4 linked regions of the Kluyveromyces lactis genome follow. The protein of the gene in region 3 purifies or fractionates together with the protein of the main gene of each other region. This does not show direct contact. Links are inferred from orthologs where the notes say so. Each region holds a gene or a part of one and is shown on either strand. Other genes may lie near its edges.

Region 1 (5,206 bases), on a different chromosome or scaffold from region 3:
CAACATTGTTGCACCGAATGAAAACCCAACAGCATAAATCTTTCTCTTTGGATCACGCTTGTGTTCTCTTTGCACAAACTCACGCAGATCTTCTGTTGCAAACGCATAGAACAATTTCGGTGATACAACTTTTGTACGTGCACAACCTCTGGTGTTCAACACGGCCACTTTAAACTTCTCATTAGAGATATTTGAAAGTTGCTCCGTTAATGATCTGATGATTGGTTCATGGCTACCACCAGCCAAACCATGCATAACAATGATCAATGGCTTACTTGTATCGTTCAAAACAGACTCTTTTTCTTCGTCATCCATGTATCTAGTACGTGGATGCAAACGAGGCCAGCCTTCAGGATGTGTCTTTTTACCATCCTCAGCTAGTTTCTCTTTATTGTATGTACCGGTGGCAGGGTCTAGTTCGTACAGTTTCTTCCAGTCATTTCTAACCCAATCAATACTGGCAATCCCATGATCAGACATCTCAAACAGTTCTCTACCGTAAAATACATTGAATTTCTTGCTGAAATCACCACCTGCCAAATACATGGTTTGTAAAATACCAGTAAAGATTAGTGGACTTAATTGAAATTTGCTGCCATCGCTCAATCCAGTAACCTCTTCGGAGATTAATTCATGCAATTGAGCCTCGGATCCATCTTTCTTTTGCAACTTGATTGTTCCTTTTTCACCGATATGTTGAGTTACAGTACCATTGTAACCCCAGTGCAGTGGGTTGAATAATAAGTTCACCATTATTGTCAACGTTTATTAGATAAGAGACAACGTCGTTGTGTCAGTACACAAATAGGGTAGACGAAAAATATTACCAAAGTATATAACCAATTTTATGAAGATAAATAAAATAAGTCAGAATATCTGTGGCTCGTTCCTTGATTCTGTTTCCATCTTTATATATTTCGCATTTGAAATGGGTTCTGGTGATGCTACAGGTGTTTGATTTTCGGACCGTAAAAATATCAGCCGAAGGATCCGGAGGTTATGAACGAAGGGTCTCGCATGAGCCATGGAGGGGAAAGGGGACCGAAAGTAAGGTTGTAAATATGTTTAGTTGGTTCGGATCCGCAGCAGTAATGAAATATTTACATGAAAAACTATCATATGGGAATAATTATATATGGTTTCAGATAGAAGAATGATTCTGTTCTTTAGGGTCCTGTAATGCCCATAGATCCATTTAATCAATCTACTTCCAAATTGATCGATTCCACAGTACCTCTCTGTTTCTGTGACTTGGATAATAACGCCTGGAAAAATTCAATACTCATTGCGTTATCCCTTACTTTGCATTCTACTTCTTTCTTTTGGGAAGTCTTTTTATCAACAATTAACTCACACGCTTTTACCACTTCTCTGGTTGGGTATTTGAACACCTGTGATACTTCTTTCGAGATACGGTCAGCGTTATTATGCGCATAATCGATTTCTTGTAATCGTAGCTTATATTTCAAGGATAACTTCATCGGTAGCGCTCTTGGTAAGTCGTGAATTAAATAGGCTATTCCTAAGACTCCCCCTAGCAGTATCAACGATCCAGACAATTTTTTCAAGGATTCTAAAGAGAAAAACCTTGAGCCATGAAGCACGATATTTGTTATCATTTTAGAACCCCCAAAGGAATAGACCAGTAATGTTGGGATCTTTGAAGTAAAGATTAACGATGGGTTGGTCCAATACTGTGAAACAGAATATGATGTTAATGCAAGGGATTGCGACCATGAGCTTTTGGTAGTCAAAGTATTCTCTTCGTTAGTAATTTTCGGTGTTGGTTTAACGAGACCCCAGGATAGGTAAGAGATAAATCCTTCAACAGATGGATCCAAAAAGTTATGCAATTCTAATGGAATATTCAATTTTTTGCTTAAATTATGCTTTTTCTTGGTGAACATCAAACCACTCTTGAAAACCTTGCCCGCCATAAATTCATCACCTAGTTGTTCCTTCGCTAATGCGTTTATTTGAGAAACTGATTGTTCTGCGCTGTTCTTAGCATATGCTTCACTGACTTGTACGCTGGCTAAAATTTGGTCCACGATGAAAGTTCTAACTCGTTGAACATAGTCATAAATGCCAGAAAGACCAGAATATGGAGGGAATTCAGCAGGCTTTAGTATTAACGCTTTGTTAATTTGCATTTTTGTGTATCCATATACTTCCTTTGTGGTAAATTCGCAAATTTTATCAATTGATTCGATAAGCTCAGAACAGCGATTGGTAACATCGTGGAGTTCCGGTTGCAAATCAATTAGAAGGGCATTCAAATGATAGTCTTCCTCTTTATATTTTTCAAGATTACATTGTGATATCCTTTCAAGATCCTTCAATAGCTTTATTAGATAAGTTTTTGCTGGTAAAAGTTTCGAGAGTGATCTTTTCTTGAAGACGAAATTACGCAAATTGTCCTCTAATTTATCGAAATCAGGATCTTCTTTTGGAGGGTTTGGCATGTCTCCATTTGGGTCATCTCCTCCATCAGGGCGATTTTCGCCTTCATGGGGTATTTTACCATGACTGGTAACAAAGTGTACAAATTCACTATTCTGCTTATAAGTTTCTGGAGAAATTTCCTTGATCTGATCTAGAATCAGCTTCTTGCATCTGTCTTTGTCCTTGATATGATCAAACTTGTTGATCACGAAGAACATTAATTTCTTCTCCCTTGAAGCCATAGTAATGAATTCTCTAGCAGATAATGTTAATTGATTTTCGGCATTGACGACAAATACTACAAGATCAATCTCTTCTTGCCTAGACATCACTTCAGTTGTTTTCACTGAATCCATATTAAGCCCAGGAGAGTCAATAAGAGATATATCTGCAGTTCCGTTTCTCAACAAACTAGAGTCAACCGGCCTTTTATCATCTTTAATATATATCTTCAACAAGATATAGTGATCATTATCATAAACCAATTGATCTAGCTTATCGAGAGTATAATCTTCATAAGTCGATCTGTCTCTCATGTCGTATAATACGGATGCATCCTTAACGTTAGTTGCCACGGTCTTGGGAATGGCATGGACTCTTTCCATATTTCCGTTCTCTCTCGCTTCTAAAATTTCACAGAATACATTGGTACAAGGCAATTGATCCTCAGGCAAAACCTTCTTTCTCAAAAATGCGTTACATAACGTAGATTTTCCTGAGTTCAAATCGCCTGTTATGAAAACTTTTGAAGAAGTATCCTGTACACGAGTTTGTAAATTAATCAAATGGTCAATCGCAGATAACGCTTGTGTTTTGAATAACTGCGCCAAAGCACTCTTATCAAGTTGCATATTCTCCCTACCATCTAGTTTGACTTTAAGTTCCAATACGTCCAAAGATTCAGAATGCTCTGGAATATAGATGGCTCTTTGATTATTTTCAGTGATCAAATCGTTGATCAAAGGCCTGACCACGGTAATGGAATCGAGAAGACTGTTTCTGTTGAGAGAGTATGATTGTTGTGTCAAATGAGAATAAAACATATGATCTCTCGACCTATCACGACGATGAGAAGAATGCCTTTGTAGAAGGTTACTCATTTGAACATCTGTTAAAGTTGTACTTGACTCCAACTGATGTGATGAAATTTCAAACGGGGCATCGTTGCTCAACTCATCTTCATATTTAGAGCTTCTTCTATTAGAATTCTGCGATATTTCCTTCTGTGACATGTTGCAGAAGTTTGTAATATTGTGGTGCGGCCGTTCGCTCAGTTATAATACCTATACTAGGATTGGAAGCGAGTGGTATCCTGTTGGCATTATTTTTCTAACTGTTTGCAACTTCTGCTTTCATTACTGTTTTCATTACTGTTGCTGCGTTTTTCATTTTCTTACTTGACCTTAAATCAATTCATGCAAAATAAAACTTTAAAAGAAGGTGATTTCTAGTGTCAGAAACCAAAGATGTCACTACTGATATTAGTATGAGTACATATATCTATATTTATATATGTTTGTATGTTTATATGTGATATTAGTATGTGATTCTCACCGAAAGAATGAACATACACCTTCTGTGATAGTTAAATTGCTAATGTACAGTCTGGGATGGAAGTCCGTTACATTGAAGTTATTTTTGCTTCTTTGCAACTGATCTATGCTTTCTCTTTTCTTTCTTCAGGAAGCTATAGCATTCCTTTTCACCAAATCCATATAGCGGTTTGAAACTTTCTATAACACCGCAATCTTCGAACAAGTTTGGGAAGAGCCAGAACCCACCCTTCTCGCTAACTGCAGCTAATGACAACAAGTAAACTATCAATCTCACAATTGCAATACCAAAGAATACACCGATAAGTGCCAATGCTGCAATGGATAAGTAGTAAGTACCACGTTTCATATATGGAGGCCATAATGGGTAACACACGAATGCTAGCACACCGACTATGATACCGATCACAGTCAAGTAATCATAAATTGATTTTGGATTATAAGACCAGACGTAATATTCATCTGGTTGTAGAGTCGCTTTATTCGATAATAATAAGTTTGGATATGATTTGTTTGGCTTTAGACCATGTTCTTTACATTCTGCAGAATGTAATTTAACCGCTGGTACGACAAATTGGGCCTTGATTAAGGAAACAAAAATGTTACGAGCATCTTCATCGCTTGTCACAGCGGGGTACAATTCGGGTTGTTTTTTGGACTTTGCCTTATATTTATCACTTTTCAAAGCTCTAACAAATCTTTTATAACGGAAGAAGTCAACTAAACGCGATTGGAACAATCCTTGTCTTTGCTTCAAGTCGCTATGAGTCCTGAGTAGATTGGCAATGGCTATCGTAGATTGTGGGCTTGGTTCCGACATAGTAACGAAACAAATCTATATTTGAAGAGAAAAATTCAAAAAAAAAAGGCGGATAAGGCAATTCTACCGGAAATTAGGCAATTATCAGGTAGTGATTAGAAAGTTATAATGAATCTAGAGATTGGACTCAAGCTGTATTCTTTCAGATCAAAATCTCATTGATATTTCTGTATATATTGAAAGTTGAAACGTAAACCGTAAATAAAATGTTCACATACATTTTAACAGTAAAATATATTGTTACCCCGACAGTCTCAAAAGAAAGTGCTTTAGTCACGTGACATAACCAATGTGTATGCCTTTAACGGTCAATTCTGAGATCCATACGAAAAAGAAATCCTGAAAGCACAATTTTTTTTTTCTTTTCAAAGGTTTGCAGTAGTGGGAA
Region 2 (3,916 bases), on a different chromosome or scaffold from region 3:
AAGACTTACGTTTCATTGGAGAATGCTGAACCAACTACCGCCCCTGCATCCAAATCAGAAGAAAAACCACTGATCAAAGAAGTAGAAAAGAAGGAAGTCGAACAGAAGGAAGAATCAAAGGAAGAATCAAAGACACCAGAAGAAAAGAAGGACAAGAAGGAAAAGAAGGAGAAGAAGGACAAGAAGGAGAAAAAGGAAAAGAAGGAGAAGAAGGAGAAGAAGAGAAAGGCTGACGATGATGAGTCTTCCGAGAAGAAGAAGAAGAAGTCAAAGAAATAAACGACTACAATCTAAGTCCTTCATATCATCGATCGAAATTTCAAAACTGCATAGAGTTTATCATTTAGGTTATGTACACTGTAGAATATTTTTAATCATTGAAAAACGTATTTCGTCACGACTGTTTTTTGTACCCTGTGTCGATGTTGTATATCATTGTATTCGTATATATAAATTTGTAAATTATTTATGCGCGTGTGAAGACACCATTACGTCTTCAATTGAAGTAATGGCAAAAAGTAATGGTAAATGTATGAGGTAGATAGAAGATTTGATAATAATACTTGGAGTTTTTTTTTTTTTGGCAGACATCAATTGTTCGGAACCAAATAGAAGTCGGGAAACTTGCAGATTGGTATGTCTTTTATTTGCATGATGTCATTTGCTCAATAAAAAGGTAAATGAAGGTTAAAATCTATGCAAATGGTTACATTGTGAACAGAAGTCGAGGTGTCACAATGAAACGTCCCGTTTCTTACTTTACCAGTATTAACAATCATTGAATAATTCTCCTTGTATTCTCTCGCATATTATATTGCGTCCTCAACTTATGTTGCGTGCTTCATTTACCGAAGGATATTTTTTTGAAAATAGTGTACAGTGTGGTCAGAAAGTTAACGCATTAATCGACAGACAATGTAGCCATACGATAAGATTGCTTCTGCTGAAGTGAATGTGAATGGAACATTTGAATTGGAAATAATTAATGGGAGTAAACATTTAAAGAAATGAAAACATATGACATAGAACCATAATGGTGGGAAGATAATATTTCTGGCAGACGTTGAATTGTAAACATGATCACCGTCAGAAGTCTAAATTTGCAATCGTCATGTCATACTTTTATGATTTATTTTCGTTATAAAGACATTCTTCATCTTTCATTCAGAAGTTATCCATAATGGCTTGTCTTTGTTGAGGTGTTAAAGAGGTTGGATAATCGATCTTGAACTTAATAATCAAATCACCTCTTTGGGAAGGATTCTTTGACAGTGTCATACCTTGTCCGGGATATGTTGAGGTTTGAGTAGGTTGAATTGGCTGCGTTCTTGTGATTGGAATTGTTTTACCGTCGATGGTTTGTACTTGCTTGGAGAAACCTAGAAGAGATTCTTTGAAAGAAAGTGGTAAAGTGTAAATCAAATCATTGTCTTGTCTGGTGAAAAATTCGTGTGGTTTTTCCTGTAGAACGAATTGTAATGTTTGTCTACCACCAGTTCTTGGATTATAGTCACCTTCACCTTTGAAAGTAATCTTGGTACCTGCTTTCCAACCTGGTTTCAATTGGATGTCAATTTGGTTCTTTTCGGACACACCACCGGCGCCTTTTCTTGTGATCTTGAATGATTTCTTCTTACCGCTGAATAAATCTTCTAAGGACACAGGTAGATTGACCTGAACAACTTCTTCTTCAGGTCTAGCCTGTTGTCTACTGAATCCACCTGGCATTCCACCTGGCATTCCACCTGGCATACCGCCTGGCATGCCGCCCGAAGAGGAATGGAAACTACTGCCTCCAAACCCGAAATCATCACCAGACCCGCCGCTAGCAGAGAATCCAAATGGAGAAGCACCTCCGGCAGCACCTCCTCCACCAAAGAACTGTGAAAAGATGTTGAAAGCGTCATCTTGTGAGAACGCATGTCCCCCGGCAAACCCACCAGAAGAAAATCCTCCAGGCCCACCAGGCCCACCAGGCCCTCCCGCTCCTCCAAATTGAGGAGCATTACCACGAGCAGCCTCTAGACCATAAGTATCGTAAACTTCCCTCTTCTGAGCATCTGAAAGAATCTCAAAAGCCTCAGAGATTTCTTTAAACTTCTCAGTGTCACCTGTAGGCTTATCTGGATGATACTTCAAGGCAGCCTTTCTGTACCCTTTTTTAATCTCGGCTTCACCTGCACTAGGCGAAATTCCTAGCAAATCATATAATTTAGTGTCCTTAACCATACTCCTACGACGTTTCAAATTTGGTAATTGTCCTTTTGTATATATGTCGAATGATAGTTCAAATTAGCTCTATCTAAACTAGAAGAATTAGAGTAAACTAAAAGAATCAGTTAATGTTTACACTGTTTCGAGATACCAATGGGACAAAAGATGCAATAAAACTCTTCTCTAAACATGTCGATCGAATACCAACGACCAATAATCTTTGAACGAAAAACATCCTGTTCTTTGAAAACCTTTATATAACATTTCATTCCTATATATTCAGGTTCAGTTCTGTTGCAACCGATCATGTTCTTTCAGAGTATACCCTGGAACCTTCTAGAAGTAAAAAAACATGAATGCTTTAAGCACGCGAGATTCATGTGACAATCACGTGATATAGAAGTTTCCCACCAATACAAATCTGTCATCACAAAGCCGCAAATCAGGTGTCATTCAATGACATTAGCCACTACACAATCTTGTGGCTATCTCTATGCCTCCACTTTTGTTTCAATTGCTGTTGTTTATATCTCAATCATGAATATTGACAAATTATGGTTTAATGTGATAAAGAATATGCAATATACTAGATGAAAGAAAGTCTTAAGGAATCTGAGGAGTTTTCAAGGCTTTTTCTCCCCTGTGAACAAGGTAGAGGTTTCTTATTGTGTACGGTCAGACTAACTTCAATATTGCCATGTCTGTTATTCTAGCGAGTGCTGGATACGACCACACAATTAGGTTCTGGGAAGCTTTGACTGGAGTCTGTTCACGAACCATTCAACATGCAGATTCCCAAGTGAATCGATTAGAGATTACGTCCGATAAGAAATATTTGGCTGCTGCTGGTCATTTACACGTCCGTCTTTATGATATACGGTCGAATAATCCAAATCCGGTGTCCTCTTTCGAAGGCCATAAAGGGAACGTAACGTCGATTGCATTTCAACAGGAAAATCGATGGATGGTATCGTCTAGTGAAGATGGGACTATTAAGGTTTGGGATGTACGGTCCCCATCTGTGCAAAGGAATTACAAGCATAATGCACCTGTCAATGAAGTAGCGATACATCCGAACCAAGGGGAATTGATTTCCTGCGATCAGGATGGGAATATCAGGATTTGGGATCTTGGTGAAAACCAGTGCACAAACCAGCTGACACCAGAAGATAACACGCCATTACAGTCGTTGTCCGTTGCAAGCGACGGATCGATGCTTGTTGCAGGAAATAACAAAGGGAACTGTTATGTATGGAAGATGCCTCATCACACGGATGCTTCCACTTTGGAGCCCGTAACTAAATTCAAATCGCATACTAAATATATTACCAGGGTCCTACTATCGGCGGATGTAAAACATTTAGCAACATGTTCAGCAGACCATACAGCTAGAGTATGGAATATAGAGGATAATTTTGAACTTGAAACCACTTTAGATGGTCATCAGAGATGGGTGTGGGATTGTGCGTTTTCAGCAGACAGTGCATACCTAGTCACAGCATGCTCTGATCATTATGTAAGATTATGGGACCTTTCCACAAGTGAAATTGTAAGGCAGTATGGAGGACATCACAAAGGTGCTGTTTGTGTTGCTCTTAACGATGTATGAAACTTTAATCAATATCTCTAAAGAAGGGATATGCGACATAGCATTTTATTGTGGTTTCGTTGATGTAGTAATTTAATAAAAAGATCAAAACTA
Region 3 (5,299 bases):
GATACAGAACCAAGGTGCCAACAAAAATTGTTCACATCTGTTATTCAACGCACCAGTGAGTGGGCAAACAAAAAATTTCCTCAATACAGAAGCGCATTCAAGGTCGTCATCTCACATGTCGATCCCCTCTTTGTCTTCATCGAACACATTGTCTACAATAGACTCGATGGCTTCTTCGTCATCGTCACTAGCATATTCATCATCTTCTGGCTCGTCCTCATCTTCTGGTTCGTCTTTATCCCAAAGCAAACTGAAAGTTATCAGTGAGGAGCCATCCGCAAAGGTCACACCAAGGAAGAAATTTGGTCTAACGAAGCCTATTATGTTGAATTCTAAGTCTTGTACGGACTTTAAAGCATTGCCTGCACATGCAGTCACAAACACAAATAATATATCTTCAAAGTCAGGCTGGGCTTCGATATTCCATTAACGGACGGATTGCCAACACATTGAAGCACGTAGGTGACTATTTGGTATTTGCATTTCTTTCTCTCAACTTTCTATTTCATTCAAACGTACATACTCTCGCACATATATGTATTCATTAATATAATTTGGTTTTACTTCGGAGACCCTGTATTGCTTTGCCTGGCGAAAATATACCATTGCACTACTAGGTCGAATTAAAGATGAATTCAAGACCCAAAATTGGAAGGGATAGCTAAGACTGATGAATCTTTTAACCATATTAAAACCAGTTATCTCAAATATCCTGTTACACGTGATTAATAGATAATATTTAATCTCTACGTAAATTTAGCAACAAGTATTCCTCTGTATTGTAATTTATTACATTTCATTTTGCATCGAAAAAGACCTGTTATGTTTTGTGAAGGTTATGTATCTAACTGTACAAATCATCGTCATCTTCACCAGCGGCATCTCCGAAAGCTGCACCAGAACCCTCAGCACCAGCTTGAGTTGCGGCAGCACCTGAATCATCACCAAACGAGAAGTTGCCGAATTGTCCTCTGGATGCCTTCATCTGTTGAGCATAAGCTTCGTAACGACGAAGCTCAGTATCTGTAACAGAACGCTTGGCTGTTTTCATAGCTTCAGTGAAGTGTTCTTTGGTAATGAATGGAACTGGATCCTCTTGTTGAACGTCTGACATTTCAACGTCTTCTTCTGTCTTGACCTTCTCGGTTTCTTCTGCACCTTCTTCTTTCTTGACAACTTCTGCACGTTTTTGTGCCTCGATGGAATCTTTAATGGCAAACTTCGCAGCTCTCTGTACGATATATAATAAATCTGCACCAGAGAATCCCTGTGTAGCTTGAGCGATGGTCTTTAGATCTAGTCCTGGTTCTAATGGTGTATTTCTTAATTGGGCTGATAGAATAGATAATCTTCCTGTTTCGTCTGGTAATGGAACGTAGATCAATTGATCCAATCTACCAGGTCTTAAAATAGCTGGATCGATTTGATCTGGTCTGTTAGTGGCACCAATAACGAAAACGTTCTTCTTGGCGTTCATACCATCCATTTCGGTCAATAATTGGTTAACCACTCTGTCAGATGCACCACCTGCATCACCTAAAGAACCACCACGAGCCTTAGCAATGGAGTCCAATTCATCTAAGAAAACGACAGTTGGGGCTGCAGCTCTGGCTTTGTCGAAAATATCACGGATATTGGATTCGGACTCACCGTACCACATACTTAATAACTCAGGACCCTTGACCGAAATGAAATTAGCAGACACTTCGGTGGCGACAGCCTTAGCTAACAAAGTCTTACCAGTACCAGGAGGACCGTAGAACAACACACCCTTCGATGGTGACAAACCAAACTTGGTGTATTGATCTGGATGCAAGACTGGATATTCGACGGTTTCCTTCAATTCATCCTTAATTTCATCCAAGCCACCGATATCATCCCATGTGACATTAACAGATTCTACAACGGTTTCACGCAATGCGGATGGGTTGGAGTTACCCAATGCAAATCTGAAGTTGTCCATAGTAACTCCTAATGAGTCCAACACTTCGGCGTCAATTTCGTCTTCATCTAAGTCAATTAGGTCCATCTTTTCACGAATTTGTTGCATAGCAGCTTCAGAACATAGGGAGGCAATATCAGCACCAACATAACCATGGGTTTCAGCGGCCAACTTTTCTAAGTCGACGTCGTCAGCCAACTTCATATTTTTAGTGTGAATACGTAAGACTTCCAATCTACCAGTAACGTCAGGAACACCAATATCGACTTCTCTATCAAATCTACCGAATCTTCTCAAAGCAGGATCGATAGAATTGGGTCTATTGGTGGCTGCAATGACAACGATGTTGGATCTAGCCTTCATACCATCCATTAGAGTCAATAATTGAGAAACGACTCTTCTTTCCACTTCACCGTTAGTCTTGTCACGCTTTGGTGCAATAGAATCAATTTCATCGATAAAAATAATGGCCGGAGCATTCTTTTCTGCTTCTTCGAAAGCCTTTCTCAAGTTGGATTCAGATTCACCAGCCATCTTGGACATGACTTCTGGACCATTGATTAAGAAGAAAAATGCACCTGTCTCGTTAGCCACAGCTCTGGCCATTAGAGTTTTACCGGTACCTGGAGGACCGTACATCAAAATACCCTTCGGAGGTTTGATACCAATGGCCTTAAATAGTTGTGGGTGTCTCAATGGCAATTCGACCAATTCTCTAATTTGAGCCATTTGCTTACGACAACCACCAATATCATCATAACCGACTTCATTGATGTTATTTTCTTCATCTTCTCTGTTAATTGGCTCACCTTCACTATGAATGACAGTATCTTGGGCAACAACACCGTACTCTTCAGGCTCAACGTCTACGACCTTGAACTCTACTTGTCTCATACCACCTCTAACGATAAAGTGGTCACCTTTTCTAACCGGTCTATAAGCTTCGACAAAGTATGGCTTCAAGTACACATCAAATAGATTACCAGTCAACCCCTCGATGGTGTCAGCGATTGGCAACACTGAGATTCTGGAAGCATACTTGATATCGGTACATGGATGGATAGTGACCAAATCACCGAGTCTTATTCTCAAGTTGTTACGAATAACACGGTTTACTCTACAGACACCATCTTCCAGTTCGTCATCAATCATAACAATCAAAACGGTGTCCTTTCTCTTCTTACCCTTGACTAAAACGGTGTCACCACGGAACAATTGTAAAAGATCCATAGTGTTAGAATTGATAGCAATGATAGAATTGTCATCGTTAACTGCATCATCGACCAGTAACATGTTTTGCTTCTTCTTTCTTCTCAAGATGGCAGTGGCGGTAGCATCATCTGCGTCAGCTGCAGTGCCAGAACTATCTAACAATTTCTTATGTTCTTCTGGCATGTTCTCTTAATAACTGAGGTGAAAAGTTGTTTTAAAGATACTGTAATTCCTTCTGGTAGGATCCACGATGTAATTAAGCTCTTGGTAAACAGGATATGCAGGTTTCTTGATTAACTTCTGAAATTGGACCTTATTTCTTCTTATTTCAACCAAAAGACGGAAGATAAAACAAAAATTAAATAACTTGATCTAACCCCTAATCTGGTGATTCAATGATTCAATTAAAGGAGACAATTATTGTAAATCCCTGGTGAGTGCTTTATTTAATCTAGCGTTCACTTACTGGTGTTAATCCTGAAAATAACCTTCAAGGATCACCGAAAATAGTGTGCAATACTTATATATAATAAATCGCTTCCCTCTTTATAATCTAGAGATTTCAGAATTTGCCACCGGATATGTGAAATTTCGGCCGGGTAACAATATTTTTTCATCTCCTCTCTAAGAAGATCCCTCCCACAATGCGAATGAGCTATTGGATTCCTTATGTGAATGGTAAGTAGAAATTGGTACAGTAGGAAATATGTAGTTATAATATATATGAGACGATCTCAATGATCATCTTCGTTAGCTTCGTCAGCTTCGTCAGCTTCGTCATCTTCGTCATATCTTGGTCTCTTTCATTGCGAAAAAGATCGCGCTTAGGTTTCTAGTTTGGCAAGCAACTTTTTATGCATTTCACTCAGCTTAGCAAAATCAGTTTCCTGTGCAGGCCAACCTACGATTAATCCAGCATCCTTTGTTTTCTTTGGGATCAAATGGAAATGCACGTGATCTACTTCTTGATGGGCTATTCTACCGTTGTTTTGAAGGACATTGTACCCTGGACCATCAGGACCATCTTGGTCGAAGCCAATGGCTTTCACTAACTTCTTAGTAACTGGCAACAGGTCAGCTAAGTATTCATCTGGGATGTTGTGCAATTTCCCACCGTGGTGCTTTGGAATGATAAGAATGTGGTTCTCTTCAGTTGGTTGGATGTCAAGGAACGAGTAAGAATACTGAGTTTCAACCAATTTGAAAGAAGGGATTTCACCTGAAAGTACACCAGTAGTGGAATCTGTTAGTATTATAGTTCATAAGATCAAAGAGCTAGTCTAAGCCACTTGGGTGGTTGCGAGCATGCAAAAACCAAGGGGAGAAACAGATATTTGTTCTCACCTAACAATTTGAGGTTTACATACCTTTGATAATCTTGCAGAAAATACAAGCAGCGTCGTGGGCAACAGCACTCATTGGTATCGGCTTATTAAACGTTTGAATTCACACGTATCGGTACTTATTGCAATATTTCTTTCGACTGCGAAAATGTTGGAGAATCTGCAACTAATTGGAGTTCAGTCTTTTTTCATCATTATACATTTGTGTATTGGCCCTTATATATATGTTCTTATGATATAAAAAAAAACCAAGTTCTAGAAAACTAGAATAGTTGGTGACACGACATGAGAATCATGATTCGGAGTGGTTCTCGTACTAATGTAGGGCACGACATTCCAACTAATGATTGTTTCTGGTTTAATGGTAGACAATACTAGAACCTATCTTTAGGGTATCTGCCTTAATTCTTTTCTAGATTTGCTGTATATTTGTTAATTATTCTTGTCCAATTTATTATAATTGTTCCAGAGGTGCCCTTTCAAAGTGGAAATGTTGTAATTCCTTTACAAAAGTTATATATAGGGATTGTGTTGGGAGCCGTTACTATTGAACGAATGAAACCTGAGATTATAAAGCGCTACCAGAGCTCAGCTTAAAACACAAAGCTTTCTGACATAATCGCTTCGATGACGGGCATACTGACGGAATAAGAACCACGTGATATTAATTGTTTCACAGATATGCTCGAATGAAAAAAAAAAAAAAAAGAGAAAAGCAGAGTCATCGAATAGCTCCACGAATTAACTTGAACATTTTATTGTTTGAGATCATCTTGATATATATTGAGATCCTTTGTGTACT
Region 4 (3,807 bases), on a different chromosome or scaffold from region 3:
AACTAGAGCTGTTCGATTTTGTGAATGGGGACACTAGTGTCAATAACAATAATAGTAGTAACAAAGCGGACGGTCTTTTAAGAAGCATTTTGTTGTACCGGAAAAATGCGTGGTATTATAGCGCTATGGCGCTCGATTTTATTTTGAGATTCGTATGGTTCTGGGAGTATATCAGTGGGCACTCTGTATTTTATGGGGAATTAAACATCTTTTGGTTACAAATTTTAGAGATAATCAGAAGATGGATTTGGTTATTCTTTAAAGTCGAGGTAGAATACATTGCAACAACAGAGGGGGGGAAAATGGATGAATGAGATGTTTAGAAAGAGAGGAAGATAATAAATAAAAAAAAAAGGTTAATTACTTCCTACGTTTATTATTGTTGGCCTTTCTTTGATTTTGTCTTCTCTCGTTCTTGGTCAAGTATCTGAACTTCTTATTCTTTTTACTCTTATTACCAGATTTTTCTTCAACTCCCAAAAACTTTGCATATTTCTTCGCACGTTCGATGCTTTGATCTAAAATTTGTTCCGATTTCTCTAACTTCACATTATTTAATTCCGCAAGGTACTCAAAATTGTCATTGGGCTCTAAGGGTTCGATGTCTACCGTAGTATCATCTAAGTAAGTCTGTACATATTTCTTTAAGATCGGTTTCACACTAACAGAGTCAGAATCCTCTTCTTCTTCTTCAGTTGCATCTCCGTTATCATCGGAAAATCCCGTCCATTCTTCAGCCTCTTCATCGCTTCCCTGTTTCCCATTTTCGGCTTCTTCGTCGTCGTCCTCTACACCGACATAATCACCGACATCTTTCATCGCCTGTTTAAAATCTTCAAGCTGTTTCTCAAGAGCCTTTTTTTTATCTGCTCTGATCTTGGCCCTTTCCTCGAGCCTAGCTTTTCTCTCTTGCTCTTGGATGAACTCCTTGGCTTTCTTTTGTCTATCAAGCTTTCTCTTATGGAACCCAGTTAAGTATTCCAACCGTGAGTCCTTATCGAACTTTACCTCATCAGCACCGAATTTCTTAGCAGCTTTCTGCTTGTAAGATTTACCACCGGTAAGAATCTCACGATTACTCTTTGCCACCATTTTCACTCTATATCCACACTGCTACTCTGTATCTTCTGCAGAACTTGAACCGGTCTCAGCACCACCTCAGTAAGTGAAAAGCCTATCTGCTTTCTTCAGCTCATCGCATCAGCAAGTTTTTCCGTTTTAATGCTTTTTCCAAATATTGAAACTTCGAGATACAGAAAGAAATACATAGATAACTATAACATGATTGCATAAGGGCAATCTAGCCGTCCTGACCTAATTTATCTAGACCAATTCATATGCTCTGCCATGCACTAAGTAGAAAACAAATCTAGGCGTATACCTGTGTAGAGGATCATTACTTAACTATTCAATTTCTGTCATTCTGTGCTTTCCTATCTATGTCTTTCCCATAGCTTTAATTTTCGGGTTCTATGAAATTTCAGTTCCAAGTTGCAGTGAAAGAAAGATATTTATACTCACTATACAGATGCGCTGTCAAGATAGACACCGGAGGTACCATTCAGTAACATCAGTGGGATATACGATACGCGTGATTATTCATAGCAGCCATGACTATGCGTAACGAATTGATACAGTTTGTAGGACAAATTCCACCGGTGACCCGAGGAATATGTCTCTTAATGGTGTTAATATGTTTGATCCAACGCTTGAACGTATTACCGTACTATTTCAGCGATTTCAAATGGTCTTTACGTGGTGTATTGTTCAAGTTCCAAATCTGGAGGTTGTTCACTAGTTTCCTCATCTTACCAAACGATGCCATGAAAGCATGTTTCGACCTATACGCAGTATACTCGAAATCGTTACATCTCGAATTAGTGCACTTCAGCAACAAATCCATCGATTATTTGTTTTACATATGTTTCAACTTTGCATTGATCGTCGTGCTCGTAGAAGCATGCCAGATCTCATACCCAGTGTTCACTAACGCATTCATAGGAATGATCCTATATACGTGGACTCTGGACAACAGCAACGTGAAGGTAATGTTCTACGGATTATTCCCAATCTTGGGTAAATATCTATCGCTAGTGCATCTTTTCGTTTCGTTCTTATTTGATGACGGGACCGATGGTTACAGCAGGTTTTGCGTCACAATGGTCGGGTTTTGTGCTGGATACGTTTACTCCTGCCTAGACACATGGACTTACGGTCCCTTGTACGGTTATCTGATGGGGAAGGACCCAGCGTACGGATTCTCTGGAAGAGGTCATTTCAGATCACCAAGATGGTTCTCCTCGATCATTCTATGGATAGGACGTGTCCTATCCATCACCTCCAAACCCGTTTCGTCATCAAACAGGACAGACCCCGTGACCAGAAGAAGGTTGAGAACCCCGTTAAAGAAAAGCACTTTCGCTGGAACTGGAAATAGATTAGGGACCAAAATAGACTGATTAAGGTACTAATAATCCGACATACTGTTATCTATATTATCTACATCTCCCTTGTGTATATATCATTTGTGTTATTTTATTTACCCCAGGTTTAATGGAAATATGTCGACAATGGAAAATTGATTTTGTATGATGGTTCTGCCTAAAAGCCCGTTATGGCGAGAAAATAGTTGATGATCAAAAAGTGTTGGAGCAAACGAATGACCACAGGGACCAAGAGTGGAGGTGAAGCACGTCTTGGGTACAGGATTGCAGAGAGTTACTGGTACAGGTTCGTTGATGATCACTCGGTTCGGACGTATATAACGGAATGGGCTCTTGTGTAATGAATGATCAGCAATTCGGATTTCTCGAGTTTCAGCCTTTTATGAATAAAACCATGTACAAATGAGCTAGTATTATTTAGTATATATATAGCTGCATTTCAGAAGTTAAGGACACCTTTCGCTTTTAATAGGTTTGTTCCGAAAATGGTTTCCTTGCCGGTTTAAACAACCAAAATCATCCTCAAGAAAGCGGAACACGATATAGAATAAAAGGTTTCAATTGTTGTGATATTTATTTTATTTATTAGTTAAATACCCGTTGTGAATACCAACACCAACAGTGACGATGAGAAGTATGGCATTTAGAAGCAGTGCTGGTATTAGTATGGGGATGAGACGCATGGGTCAAGGTAACAAGAAAAGTTCTATATTGAGACAGATGTCTGGTAAGATGCAGTATTCGGGGTATCAGAAGTTCCCTTTTGAGACCGGGACTAACGATGAGTATATTGCAGAAAGACCTAATTCGTATTATCAGGAGAAGAGACCTGGGTTCAAAGGAGCCACTTACTCAAAACAACAGGATATGCCATCCTTACCGATTCCGGAGTTGAAATCGACTTTGGACAAATATTTGAAGTCTATTAAACCGTTTTGTCAGACGGATGCTGAATATGAGAAACAGATCCAGTTATGTTACTCATTTCTTTCAGACCAAGGCCCTGCTTTGCAGGAGCGGTTGTTGAGTTATTCTCAGGAGCGGAGAAACTGGATGCAAGAACTATGGGATAGTCAGATTTATCTTGGCGATAGGTCACCTGTGGTTCCTTTTGTGTCATATTTTTATGGTCATAAGCCTTTACCAACTAGTCACCGTGCCATCGATGGCGACATGCTTGTTAAGGCCACGGCGATTATTTCTAGTGTGGTGAAGTTCGTGGAATCCTTGAAAGATGAAGCCTTGCCAGCAGAAGTGGTGAAGGGCAAACCTTTCTGTATGAACGGATTCCAATATATGTTCAATAATTCAAGGGTTCCTCAATTCAATATCGATACGAACCATTTTTACTCGATCTATGAAC

The links.
Region 1: the proteins of CDC48 (region 3) and FZO1 purify together in Saccharomyces cerevisiae (affinity purification with western blotting; 6 studies listed by BioGRID, with this or other methods). This does not show direct contact. The link is inferred for Kluyveromyces lactis from reciprocal best matches to the Saccharomyces cerevisiae genes CDC48 and FZO1.
Region 2: the proteins of CDC48 (region 3) and SIS1 purify together in Saccharomyces cerevisiae (affinity purification with mass spectrometry; 3 studies listed by BioGRID). This does not show direct contact. The link is inferred for Kluyveromyces lactis from reciprocal best matches to the Saccharomyces cerevisiae genes CDC48 and SIS1.
Region 4: the proteins of CDC48 (region 3) and DFM1 purify together in Saccharomyces cerevisiae (affinity purification with western blotting; 4 studies listed by BioGRID, with this or other methods). This does not show direct contact. The link is inferred for Kluyveromyces lactis from reciprocal best matches to the Saccharomyces cerevisiae genes CDC48 and DFM1.

What each region holds. Positions count from the first base shown.
Region 1 is NC_006041.1:2,152,923-2,158,128, reverse strand, and holds FZO1 (mitofusin), read right to left. Parts: upstream 3,678-5,206; coding exon 1,200-3,677; downstream 1-1,199. Other genes in the region: EEB1 (medium-chain fatty acid ethyl ester synthase/esterase), read right to left, coding at 1-753; Sec63 complex subunit SEC62, read right to left, coding at 4,078-4,818. UniProt on the Saccharomyces cerevisiae protein: Essential transmembrane GTPase, which mediates mitochondrial fusion.
Region 2 is NC_006040.1:410,451-414,366, forward strand, and holds SIS1 (type II HSP40 co-chaperone SIS1), read right to left. Parts: upstream 2,230-3,916; coding exon 1,165-2,229; downstream 1-1,164. Other genes in the region: pseudouridine synthase CBF5, read left to right, coding at 1-279; TOR complex subunit LST8, read left to right, coding at 2,912-3,823. UniProt on the Saccharomyces cerevisiae protein: Required for nuclear migration during mitosis. It is required for the normal initiation of translation. Might mediate the dissociation of a specific protein complex of the translation machinery. Essential for viability.
Region 3 is NC_006042.1:552,562-557,860, forward strand, and holds CDC48 (AAA family ATPase CDC48), read right to left. Parts: upstream 3,338-5,299; coding exon 845-3,337; downstream 1-844. Other genes in the region: cyclin PCL2, read left to right, coding at 1-430; HNT1 (adenosine 5'-monophosphoramidase), read right to left, coding at 3,979-4,373, 4,522-4,573. UniProt on the Saccharomyces cerevisiae protein: ATP-dependent chaperone which probably uses the energy provided by ATP hydrolysis to generate mechanical force to unfold substrate proteins, disassemble protein complexes, and disaggregate protein aggregates.
Region 4 is NC_006037.1:187,061-190,867, forward strand, and holds DFM1 (Dfm1p), read left to right. Parts: upstream 1-1,610; coding exon 1,611-2,459; downstream 2,460-3,807. Other genes in the region: ERD1 (Erd1p), read left to right, coding at 1-314; rRNA-processing protein RRP17, read right to left, coding at 361-1,092; carnitine O-acetyltransferase CAT2, read left to right, coding at 3,072-3,807. UniProt on the Saccharomyces cerevisiae protein: May be involved in the degradation process of some misfolded endoplasmic reticulum (ER) luminal proteins.